Linked DNA regions of Rattus norvegicus. The protein of the gene in region 2 purifies or fractionates together with the protein of the main gene of each other region. This does not show direct contact. Links are inferred from orthologs where the notes say so. Each region holds a gene or a part of one and is shown on either strand. Other genes may lie near its edges. The genes, in order: Tmem231, Tctn2 and Tctn3.

Region 1 (4,145 bases), on a different chromosome or scaffold from region 2:
AAAAAAACAAAAAACAAAAAAACAAAACAAAACAAAAAAAAACAATTAACATCCAAAGCAAACACTTATGCCCCAGTTACCTAATGACTGTGTTAGAACTGCTCCCCAGGCTGGGTGATGGTGGCACATGCCTTTAATCCCAGCACCGGGGAGACTGAGGCAGGGGCATTGCTGAGTTCGCGGCCAACCTGGTCTACAGAGCAAGTTCCTGGACAACCACGGATACAAAGAGAAACCCTGTTCGGAAAAACGAAAACAAAGAAGCACTCTCCCGATGTTTTTAATAAGATTTGCTGCGAGTCTACTTCTGTTTCCCGATGTTTTTAATAAGATTTGCTGAGAGTCTACTTCTGTTTCTGAGTATTCTCTACCGACATTCCACAGGGGAAGGCCGGAGCCTTCGTTTTCCTCCCCTTCCCACCAGACCCCATGGCATCTCCCCGCTCCCCTGATCCCTTCAGTTTCCCTAGATGCACATTTTGCTTAGTCAGCATTCTGTCTAAGACGATGACTATGCAAGTCCTGTTCGCAACCCTGACTGCATCTCCTTCCTTGCTTCTTCGCGAGGTTTATTTCCCTGCAGGAAATAATTGTTTTCTTTGCTTGCTTTGTTTTCTCTATGTGCATGAAATTTCAACAAAAAGCTTCCGCTGGCATTCAGAGGTGTATGACATAAGTCTGGGCATGTGGTACTCGTCTGTTGTCCCAGCTTCTTAGGGGGCTGAACGGGACTTACTGCTTCAGCCAAAGCCAGCTTGGGCAGGCAACAAGCAAGGCAATAAGCCATCTCAAAAAGAATAAAAAAGCCGGGGTTGGGGATTTAGCTCAGTGGTAGAGCGCTTGCCTAGCATGTGCAAGGCCCTGAGTTCGGTCCCCAGCTCCGAAAAAAAGAAAAAACAAACAAAAAAAAAAAAAAGAAAAAAACAAACAAAAGAATAAAAAAGCCGTAAGATTTAGTTAAAAGCTTTAATTCATACAATAATTTTAATAATAAAAATAATTGGGGCAAAATTTTAAAAAAACACATCAAGGAGTAAGGGTGGGTAATGAGATAACTCAGCAGGTAAAGACCCTTGCAGCCAACCCTGGGAATCTGAGCTGGATCCCTGGGAGAGTGACAGGAGGGAACCGACCCCTTCCATGTTGTGCCTCTGACTTCAGGAGCCAGGGCTCCGGCTTTTGACACAGAATAGCCTTGAGCTTGCTGTGTACGTAGGGGAGGGGCAATTTAAATTCATCACTCTGCTCATGTCATTGAATAAGCTACAGATCTTAAAACTAACAAACTCGGTTGGTTAACAAGTACTGATACATATACCAACCACAGTGAGCCTTCACTTTTCTGTCAACAGGTTTGTGATAAGGAAAAAAATAATTATACATATATATATATATATATATATATATATATATATATATATATATGAGAACCAAGTAATCTGAATTAGATTTTGCATATTGCTATCTTATTTACCTGTTGTGGGGAGAAAGTCTGACACCCCTGCCACGCACCCGCCCCTTCAGCTACAGGAGTTTGCCTTCTAGGCTAATAATCAGACCTGTCCGAATGGATCCACATTTGAATGTAGGAAAGCCAGATGTCCCATACGACTAAAGGAAATGTAAGGAAGCATTTGATTTATGCGAAAGCAAACACTAAACTGCAGACAGTAAAATGTTCCAGTTTCATAGGAGACAGCTGCAGTGTGGAACCCAGTTAGGAGCCTAACCCAGACAGGCGTGGCTTGGCCAGAGCCGGAGTCGAGAATTCAACCAATCAGCGCTTTCCCTACCCTACGTCCAGTCTGCATAAAAAATGCGGGCACTTTCTGTCTTTACAGCCTGGTGATGTTCAAATTCAGCGACATCCTGGCGTCTACAGAACCCGGCCTTCAAGCCCTTAAAAGGGTTTTCACAGCCACTTTTTCATTCAGAAGTGACCAGCACCAGAGACAGGCAGTGCTCTGGCTTCTGGACTCAAATCCACCAAACATACCGCCTGCATGGTTGATTGTCTGGGGACACCTCAAGAAGCTGAGTAAAACTATCTAAAAAGTTAAGCATGCGCGGGCCAAAGAGACTTTGTTTCCAACCCCGGTGGATCCTTGAGATCCAAGCTGTGGGACTGAGCATTGGCTCAGTGGTAAAGTGCTCGCATGCAAGCAAAAAGCCCTGGGTTTGATTCCCAGCACCCCACAACCCCCAGCACGGCGTTGCATAGCAGAAATTCCTGGCCCTGGGAAGGTGGAGGCCGGAGGATCAGTTGTTGAAGAACGACTTCGGCTATATAGTTTAAGGCCAGCCTGGGATACATGAGACTGCCCCCACAGCCCGTCAAATGACCCAACTGGGATCTCACCCCATGCTTTCCCCCCAGGGTCCGGGCGGGAACCACGCACCGACACGAGCGGAACGCGCAGGTGAACCCCCTGCAGCCGGTTGAAAGTGGGGTACGTGCTCCAGGCGAGGAAGGCTCCCGGCTCGGGCCCCAGTAGAGCCACCAGCAGCACTTGGTGCTGGAAGCGCACGTTCGGCTGCTCCTCGTAGTTGCTGCGCTTCAGCCAAAACCCTGCGGGAGACAAGGCGTGTTGGGGGAGCCGGGTCAGGATAGCCGGCCTGGGCCCGCGGGCCGCGCCGAACCGAGTGGCCCTCCAGACCCAGGCAGGCTTACCGTGGCTCCGGAAGGCCACCAGCAACGGGGGGATGTAGGTGAGCGCGGTGGCCAGCAGCAGGAAGAGAGCGGCCTTGGAGCAGAGCCCCGCGCGGTAGGCGCGCTCGATCGGGTGAGAGAAGAGATGGTACAGCGCCATGAGCCCAGGGCCGCAGCGCGGAGTCTCCACGGCAACCGACGGCGGGCAGAGGAACCAATAGCAGGCACGCAGGCCTTTAGTAAGGGGTGGAGCTAGCGGGAGGAGGTTTCTGTGTTAGTTAGTACATGCATTTTGATTCGGTTCCCGTGGGTCCCTTCAAGAAAGCAACAGAAACAACATTTCCACTCACCAAAGTCTGTGTCAGTTGTACAAAATCAGATGTGCATAGATGTTGACATCTCCCCATAGGTCATCTATTAACTCACAACATAGGATGGTTGATATAGCTTAGTTGGTAAAAGGCTAGCTAGCTTACCATGCAGGAAGCCCTGAGTTCATACCCAGCACTTCATTAAACCCGGCATGGTGACCCGCATCTGTAATACTAGCAACTCTTGAGATGGAGGTAGGAGGACCGGAAGTCCAAAGTCATCTTTAGCGACACTGAGTTAGAGACCAGCCGGAGATATGCGGGACTGTATCTCAATGGAAAAACTCCAGTATGGTTCATACTGAAGTCCGGCCACTCTTTTTTTTTTTCTTTCTTTTTTTTTTGGAGCTGGGGACCGAACCCAGGGCCTTGCGCTTGCTAGGCAAGCGCTCTACCGCTGAGCTAAATCCCCAACCCCCCCAACGCCCCCCCCCACTCTTATAAAAGGGCCACAGTCCTAGAACCAGGTACTTTTGCCTTCAAAGTTAGTGCTTTCACTTTGCCCCGTAGCAGAAAAGATAGAAAACGAGAAACAAATCCCTTGGTTCTTCAAAGGTTTGAGGGTAATTTACTACACGGCTCCTTCTGGTGTACTTAGGTATAAACGCTGATATTGTCTTCCTCAAAGTTAGCATTAGCGAATCACTTAGGTAACTACTAACAGGAATATCTTAACGTGAAAGACAGATTTTATCTGTTTTGAAGTAGGGTCTTACCATGGAGACTGTGCTGGCCGTTGATTCTTTCTCCAGGTCCTCAGCAAGAACAGTCAGAGCTCTTAACCCCTGGGTCTTCTCTCCGGCGCCCACCAATTATATCTCTTAATTCTGGAAAGGCCGTCCTCTGACCTGTACAGGCCTGTCATGGTGCTTATCTGAATATTACATAAATACTAAATAAATGTTATAACATGTAAGTAAGCTGGAGAGAATGGCCCGTTTTCCAGAGGATCTAGGTTTGACTTTCAGCACCCACATGGTGACTCATAGCCAATTGTAACTCCAGTCACAAGGGATCCAACAACTTCTGTGGGCACTGCATACATATGGTACACATGGTATATAGACATACACGCAGGCAAAACACCCATACACATAAAGTTAAAATAAAGGAGTTGACACACA
Region 2 (3,632 bases):
CTCTTGGGACCTGGAGAGTTCTATACGGGAAAATTTGAAAGTAAATCTGGGGCTGAGATGTGGTTCCGCCTAGTGTCTAGAGTGTGGAGAGCTGTGGGTTTGAACCCTAGCACCAACTTCCTAAATCCTAAAACAGTCAAAAAAAAAAAAAAATCAGGAGGTGTCCTGAGAGAGTGGGGATGATCACACAGCTCAGAATTGTTCACCAAGGGGACTGCCAGGGACTGGGGCTGTGGCTCTAAGAAAGAGCGCTTGCCTGGCATGTGTGAGCCCAGGGTTTGGTTATGTTATTGTAGTGCACCCAACCAGCAAATTGCTTATTTATCTAACCCATAGAAACTAAAGATGCTCAGATGAGTTTTAAATGTCTTTTTTTTATATGACTTCTCTTAGGGCATAAATGTCTGGCATCGTCTGGTAACCATTTACCAGGGTTCTCTACTGTCCCTGTCGGCACACTCTGTGGCTTTCAGTGACAAGCTTAGATACTGAATCTTTTATTTTTCTTTTTGAGGAAAAGATGTATTTGTGTGTGTGTGTGTGTGTGTGTGTGTGTGTGTGTGTGTGTGTGTGTGAAAGTTTATACCATGTGTGTGTGGGCGCCCTTGGAAGACAGAAATGGGCATCAGATCCCCTGGAGGACGGGTTACAGGTGAACGACCATGTTGGTGCTGGGAGCTGCCTCTGGGTCCTCCATAAGAGTGGCAAGTGCTCTTCAATCCTGAGACGTCTCTGCAGCCCCAGACACTGAATCTCCACGTTTGGGTTTATTCTGTGGGTTGGGACCACGTTCAATGCACAGGGACATTTAGACACCACCCAGGTGAGCAGCACTGCTCCTGCCGTAGATGTTGTGAGGTCACATAGTCATGGAGTGACAACACCCTTGCAAGAGAGTTGAGCCTCAGGCCTGAGAGGCTTTGGGTATCATGGCTGACACGTGGGACAGCCGCCACTAACAGATGTCTAATTTGACATTCCTGCAGGCGTCGACGCCCCTGATGCAGGCGCCGACCTGCCTCTGAGCAGCGCAAATGGCATGTGCCCGGAAGTTCCAACCCACGTCACCATCCGCATCCTCACTGCTGAGGCTGGCGCTGTGGAAGGGGAGGCTCAGCGGGAGATCCTGGCTGTGGAGACAAGGTGTGGTCCCTTCCCGAGAGTCGCTGAGGTGGAGAGCAGGACACAGACCAGGAATGCCAGGCAGAAATCCGCACACATGGCGATCATTAATAGCTGGGGCTGTATAAATGGAGGGCCCTCGGGAGTATTTGTAAAGCTCTGTATGAGAGCTTTTGCGGTGTCAGGGGAGGGCCACGGCTGACAAGGGACTGCTCCGTTCTGAGGGTATTTAACTCTATGGGCCTGAGTGGCATATTGGCGACAGAACGTGGCCACTGGTTGGAGGCTTTGCCGGCACCATAGGTTCCGATCATGGAACCGTGTGTGACTTCAGACAGTTTAATATGCAATAGCTTTATCTAAGGAAATATGACACCCTTGTGCATTGCGTCTTTACCTCATGTGACAGGTTCCACTTAGCAAAAAGTGGTGGGTGCTATTCAGTTTGGGAGAGTCCCCATGCCTGCAAGGTCAGAGAGGGTCTCTTTCTGGTTACCCCCAGCTCACCTTGTCCTGGGACTGTCTTCATACTCAGGGGCATCCTCCTTGGTCCTGTGAGGTCAGCACCAGCCTCGCCTCGCCTGGGCTTAGTAAAGAGAGGCCTTCTTGTCTACAGAGCCTTTTTCTGTTGTTGTTCGCTGGGTCATGGGTTCCTTTTGGAGCCATTCACTATGGTCTGAACTATCAATAGCTCTAGCATGCAGGCTCTGGATCCGGGCTGGTGTCTTCTGACCCACTGAACAGAGAGCAGGGAGTGATGTGTCCCGCCCACACACACACAGCCACACCCCCACCGCCACCCCCCGCAAAGTTGGGGAGCAGTTACTAGAATTTGAGAAGCTGTGCTGATTTCCCATCAGACCCACTTCAGTGTCGGGGTAGAGCCAAGGTCTCCTTTGCTAAGCAACTTCCCGTTCCGCAGTACTGTTTTGCGGTGCCACGGGCATGGCACGCCTTCGATAAATGACCAGAGGCTCTTCCTATTAGACTGCTGGAGACAAGCAATCCTTGTTAAGAGAACCCGCATACAGTGACTTGGGCGAGAGGAGGGAGCTGGCTGCAGCAGCCAGTGATCGGAACAAGGACTTGTAGATTCTGGGTCTAGACTTGAGGATCCAGCACTTGGCTTCCTAGACTTTCAGTGGTTGGTGGCCACTACCTCACAATCGTCCTTTCTTAGGTTCTCCACAGTAACCTGGCAGTACCAATGTGGGCTCACCTGTGAGGAGGACAAAGCCGACCTTCTCCCCCTCAGTGCCTCTGTTAAGTTCATTAACATCCCTGCGCAGATGCCCCGCCCGACCAGGTAAGCCAATGGCTGACAGGCTCACAGGTTCTTTCCTGCGCAGACGCCCCGCCCACAACCAGATAAGCCAATGGCTGACAGGCTCGCAGGTTCCTTCCTGCTTCTTTCTAGTTTTCCCTGTAACCCTCTCACGTGTTTGTGTAGATTCCAGATCAACTTCACAGAGTACGATTGTACCCGGAATGAGCTGTGCTGGCCCCAACTTCTGTACCCTCTGACCCAATATTATCAAGGTAGGAAGCCAGGTTTCTGTATGTTGTAAGTTACGTTGTGCCGGTTAAAACTGTTTACCAGTCAATGTGGAAATGTCCCAGACAACTTAAAGCACGAAAGACTTAAAAGAAGAAACCACACTAATACCGATGTTTAGAAGTTACGGTTATGATGCTTAGAAATTATGATAACAATAAATGGTTAACACTAAACTATTACCTTCAAAGTCAAGACATGATAAGACTCAGTTGTTGGGGTGGGGGTTGTCCCCGGCAAGTGTCATAGTTGGCAGGGAAATAAGCCACAAAGAAATGAGAATGAGTGAAAACTCAGTTCAGCCCGACTTAACCCATCCAGGCTGGGTCAAACTTCAGGAGTCTGATGTCAGGTGTTTTATTGCCAACATATTTAAACACAGTACAGTTTGGGGGAAAGTTTCCTGGTGTAATCCAATCCCTAGTACACAGGGGGCGTGGTTAACATCGAAACACAACTCAGAGTCCTTTCTTCCAAGAATGGTTCTCTGGATAGACTACCTGTGTTAGCTTACGAGTCTAAGGAAGGATCTGGCCTGGTCTCAGTCATATAGTTAGTGTAGAGGTCATGTGGGTTGTTAGGCTGCGCGCTACCTCTGGTCCTGGTTGTGAGAGCCTGCAGGAGCCCTTGGTGATACAGATAACATAAGGTCATTTAGATTGTGAGCTACCTCTGGTCCTGGTTGTGGGGTCTTGATAGGGCCTGGCCCAACAGATACTGCAGATCACCAGACTGTTACCCACCCCCATTCTTACCCTTCTATATGGAAAAGCAGGTTGCATGTCCTTTCCGTTCCTGGCCTCCCTGGTGATCTGTGGGCACAAGGACCTTCATGCTTTTAATGATTGCCTTCTGCTGCCTTTCAGGGGAGCCCCGGCCTCAGTGTGTCGCCAAAGGCCTGATGCTGCTGTCACTCCTCATGTTGGCCATACTCCTCAGGCACCCTTGGGTCGGG
Region 3 (4,318 bases), on a different chromosome or scaffold from region 2:
ACTTAATGGTAAAATGGTAAAAACAAACAAACAAACAAACAAACAAAAACAAAACAAAACAAAACAAAACAAAAAACCAGCAATAAGTTTTCTTCTTGGTTCCTTGGCTATTTCCACCTCTGAGTCTTGACTTTTGCCTCAGAAAATGTAACTTCCTCTAAGTCCTCAAATTCTTTCCCATCCTGTTTTCTTGTACTGAACCTCTCCCCTTACTACTTTCTAGCAACAAATGTACAGATCACCTTTATTGATATGATCCACTATGCCGGCACGCGTAAGAGACGTGACTTTCTATGTGTTTTTCTCCTTGAAATCACGGTCTTTCCACAAAAAGGGTCTCTTACCTTGGGAAGACCGATTGAAAGACACAAGCATTTTTTTTTTAAATAACATTTAAGTTGATAGAGTGTTTGCCAGGTGTGCATGAAGCCAAGGCCGTGAGTTTGACCTCCAAGATGTTGTGATGGCCTATATGATTGAAATTCTAGACCCAGGAAGATCAGAAAATCATTCTTGGCAACATCTTGAGTCTGAGGTTCAGCCTGGGCTACATGAAACTGTCATGGAGTTGAAATAAGCATTGTTTTACTGTGCTTTTTAAAAATACCATAGTATTACAGTGGAGAGATTTTTTTAAACTTTCTTTTAGATTTTATACATAGGAGTGTTTTGCCTGCATGTGTCTGTGTACCTGTCTGTGAGTGTCTGATGCCGCCTACTGAGGCCAGAGATGGCACAGGCAATGGATCCCTTGGAAATGGAGTTGCAGAAAGTTGTGAGACACCCTGTGGGTTCTGGGAGGCGAACCCCAGTTCTTGGACAGAACAAATATTCTTAACAGCTGAGCCATCTCTCAAGCCTCTATCATGGGGACTTTGTTCATTTGTCTTTGTTTTAGGGAACAGTCTCTCACTCAGTAGCCGAGGTTGGCCCAAACTCGTGATCCTGCTTGAGTCTAGGGAGTAACGAGGGCGATCCGGTACTCAGTTTCCCGGCACGCGTAAGAGATGTGACTTTCTATGTGTTTTTCTCCTTGAAATCACGGTCTTTCCACAGAAAGGGTCTCTTACCTTGGGAAGACCGATCAAAAGACACAAGTAATTCCAGTTCTTGCCTCTGGGTCTTCCCCTCAGCAAAGACTTCACTCAATTCCTCCAGGTCCGTAAAGGGCACCAACCTGATGCCAGCTGCCATCTAGCGGCAGAATAGGGCAAAGACGCCTTAGCCCCAGGGGCTCCCAGCGGTTGCCAGGTAACGGGAGCGGCGCGCCGCTAAGGAGGAGAGCGCAGCAAGAAGGACGCGCCGGGTCGTAACAACACGGTCTTCCATTGGCTGAAGAGCACACGGCTCCCGCTTGAGCCAATGCACAGATGGAAGCTGATGACGTCATCTCCGACTCCTCACCCCTGGGCTCTAGGATCTATCTGGAGACTCGGGCTCCTGTCGCACCCCTCTGCGGCCCGGCTGCCTTATGTGCACTCCGCAGCTGCTGCTGCTGCTGCTGCTGCTGCTGCTAGTGGGCCTGATGCTTTCTGACGCCGCCCGGCCGCAGCCCTCCTCCACAGCCCGGGCTCTGCCTACCTCCTGGGTCCTGGGGCCAGTGACGCCCGAAGTACCAACTACAGCGCCTCCAGACTTGTCTGAGAGTCCTACCCCCTGGACACTATCGATGCCCGAGAACGCGACCACCGACCCCTTCCCAGGTGATGCGGCGGGATACGGGATGGAAATACTGACTTCTCGGATCTAAAATTGTGTAGACAATATTGCTTCGCTACGTAGCTTGCAATGGGGCTATCCGCGAGGGAAAACTTTGGGGAGCTTCACCTCGCTTTGCCTCTTTCACTTATAGCCTTATCGATCTGTGTCTGTGACTTGACTCCTGGTACCTGCGATTTAAACTGCTGCTGCGATAAGGACTGCGATCTTCTCCATCCCAGAACAGTCTTTTCCTTCTGCCTTCCTGGTAGTGTAAGGTGAGCTGTGCTCTGGCTGAGAAGTAAGAGTGAGTTTCCTACCCCCAGATCCCCGCGTAAAATATTCCCTTGGGCTTTCCCGGGAGTGCTGAGCCATCCAGTAAAACATTACCCGGAATGTTGTACCTCTGCCCACAGACCCCCTTAGTGGCCTCAGACATTGGTAGGGTAGGGCCCCTTCCCTAACCGTACTCCACGCCCCTCCTCAGTATCTTCAACTTTCCTCACAGATCTTCAAGTTGGGTATGTGTGGACAACTCCCTGGTCTTCAGGAGCAACTCCCCATTTCCTTCCAGAGTTTTCACGGACTCCAGTGGAATCACACAATTTTGCGTCCGTGTGAACAACTGTGAGTAGAAACAAGTTTGGCCGCTCTTGTCATTTAACGTTTATTACGACGTGACTCTGTCTTTGGAGTTCTCCTGTCCTCCAAATCCCTATGTTACGACTACCCTCTTCCTTTCATTAGTAATTTCAGAAACCTCCAGTGACTCTCCACCACCTTTAAAATACTGCTCAGCAACTCTAGCCTGGCAATCAGCATTGATTGATTGATCGATGGATGATTGATTGATTGATTGATTGATTTCTCTTGCAAGCTTTTCTCTAATGATTTTATACTGCTCTTTTCTTTTGGACAAATTCATGTTCCTTGTCCTTAAGCTATGCCTTAAATTTCTCCTAAATTTCTTTCTTCTTACATTGGGAACATCTTACCTCTCCTAAGAATCTAATGTCATCTGCCCAAGTGAGCCCGTCCTGGGAAGTTGGAAGTTCTGAGACAGTCCTTTAGAATTTGCAGAGTTCTTTGTATGGTTGTAAGTTTATGTGAATATTATGACTTCCTCCAGATATCAAACTATCAGCCCCTTAAAAGGACAAGCTGTGGGAGTAGAGAAATGGCTTAGCACTTAAGAGCACTGGCTGTTCTTCCAGAGGACCCAGGTTCAATTCCCAGCACCCACATGGCAGCTCACAACTGACTGTAACTCCAACTCCAGGGGATCTGACACCCTCATACAGACATACATAGAAGCAAAACACCAATGCACATAAAATAAAAATAAATAAGTCACTTTAGAAAAGGGCAAACTGTATTTATTCACAGTGGATAAAATGTCTTGATAATGATCATGGAGGGTTGGGGGGAAGTGTTCTATTTCTAACAGGGTCTCTACAGCACGGTGGGGTGGGAAAACTGCAGACCAGCAAGTAGGGGACTGGGGATCTGCTCCTGGTTTTGCTAGCTTACTCTGAGGTCTTTGCAACAACCTTGCCTCAGAGGATCCAAATTTCCTAATGGGAGTGGATGAGATGGTCTGTAGGCTTCTTTTCACATCCAGTTCTATCAGAGTTTGCACTACACTACCTTTAAATTGTTGGCTGATGGTAGGCCATGTGCGACCGTGACACTAATGAGAACATTTATGTATTTGTATATGAATTCGTATATGAATAATATACATGTGTATATGTATGGCCTCACCGTGTATGTCTTGTGTGCTTTTGTCCTTATCACTACGTCAGCCAATACACCTGTACTGAGATGAGGGGTCGTGTGGCAACTCGCTCTTCCTGAGAAAAGCTACGGAAAGGATCCACAGCTACTGACTCCTGAACTCAGCTCCTCTCTCTAGTTCACTTAACTCTTGCCTGCAAAGCTAGCCGTAACGGGATTTGATAGGAGGCCAGTAGCCTTTCTGTGCAGTTTCTGTGAGGAAGCTGCAGAGCTGGGAGCCTCAGCTCCTAAAGATGGAGGAGAGGTGGTATGCAGTCTGGATGCCAGCATACCTGTGCCCGAGCAGGACTTTGTTCTGTAAAGACTTCACTTATTTCCCATGTGGAAGGAGTAGGCACACGCACGCGTGTGACATGAACACACGCCATAGGACACGTGTGGAGATGGAAGGACAGACAGCCTATCAGAATCCATTCCCTTCTTCCAGGACGTAGGTCCCAGTTCAGGTCATTGTCAGTCTCGGTGGCTATTGCCTTGACCAGCCGAGTCATCTTAGAGTTCTTTCTTAAACTCATCGGATGTTCATCTGCATGTGATAAAATGTGTGTGTTGTGCTTCAAAGGTTGTTTCTTATGCCAGATACTTAAAATGAAATTTTTTTAAATCTAAGTTTCTGTTCTTTTTTTTTTTTTTTTTTTGTAAATTGTAGCAAAATCAAACTATTTCCAGGAGCTCCAAACAGTCAATGCAACCAACTTCCAGGCCCTGGCTGCAGAGTTTGGAGGCCAGTTCTTCACGTCAACACCGAAAACCCAGCCGCCAGGGCCATTCTATAGGGTGAGCCTGGGGAAGGGGGTGGGGTAATCTGGTTTTCTGGACAGTA

What was found.
Region 1: the proteins of Tctn2 (region 2) and Tmem231 purify together in Homo sapiens (affinity purification with mass spectrometry; 3 studies listed by BioGRID and IntAct, counting the BioPlex papers as one, with this or other methods). This does not show direct contact. The link is inferred for Rattus norvegicus from reciprocal best matches to the Homo sapiens genes TCTN2 and TMEM231.
Region 3: the proteins of Tctn2 (region 2) and Tctn3 purify together in Homo sapiens (affinity purification with mass spectrometry; 3 studies listed by BioGRID and IntAct, with this or other methods). This does not show direct contact. The link is inferred for Rattus norvegicus from reciprocal best matches to the Homo sapiens genes TCTN2 and TCTN3.

What each region holds. Positions count from the first base shown.
Region 1 is NC_086037.1:56,810,695-56,814,839, forward strand, and holds the start of Tmem231 (transmembrane protein 231), read right to left. Parts: upstream 2,822-4,145; 5' UTR 2,811-2,821; coding exon 2,672-2,810; intron 2,570-2,671; coding exon 2,400-2,569; intron 1-2,399. UniProt on the Homo sapiens protein: Transmembrane component of the tectonic-like complex, a complex localized at the transition zone of primary cilia and acting as a barrier that prevents diffusion of transmembrane proteins between the cilia and plasma membranes.
Region 2 is NC_086030.1:37,643,975-37,647,606, reverse strand, and holds part of Tctn2 (tectonic-2 precursor), read left to right. Parts: intron 1-750; exon of another isoform or gene 751-986; coding exon 987-1,143; exon of another isoform or gene 1,144-1,858; intron 1,859-1,948; exon of another isoform or gene 1,949-2,302; coding exon 2,303-2,428; intron 2,429-2,572; coding exon 2,573-2,661; intron 2,662-3,543; coding exon 3,544-3,632.
Region 3 is NC_086019.1:249,371,796-249,376,113, reverse strand, and holds the start of Tctn3 (tectonic-3 precursor), read left to right. Parts: upstream 1-1,415; 5' UTR 1,416-1,471; coding exon 1,472-1,703; intron 1,704-1,852; coding exon 1,853-1,976; intron 1,977-2,206; coding exon 2,207-2,325; intron 2,326-4,144; coding exon 4,145-4,272; intron 4,273-4,318. Other genes in the region: Entpd1 (ectonucleoside triphosphate diphosphohydrolase 1), read right to left, coding at 1,071-1,194.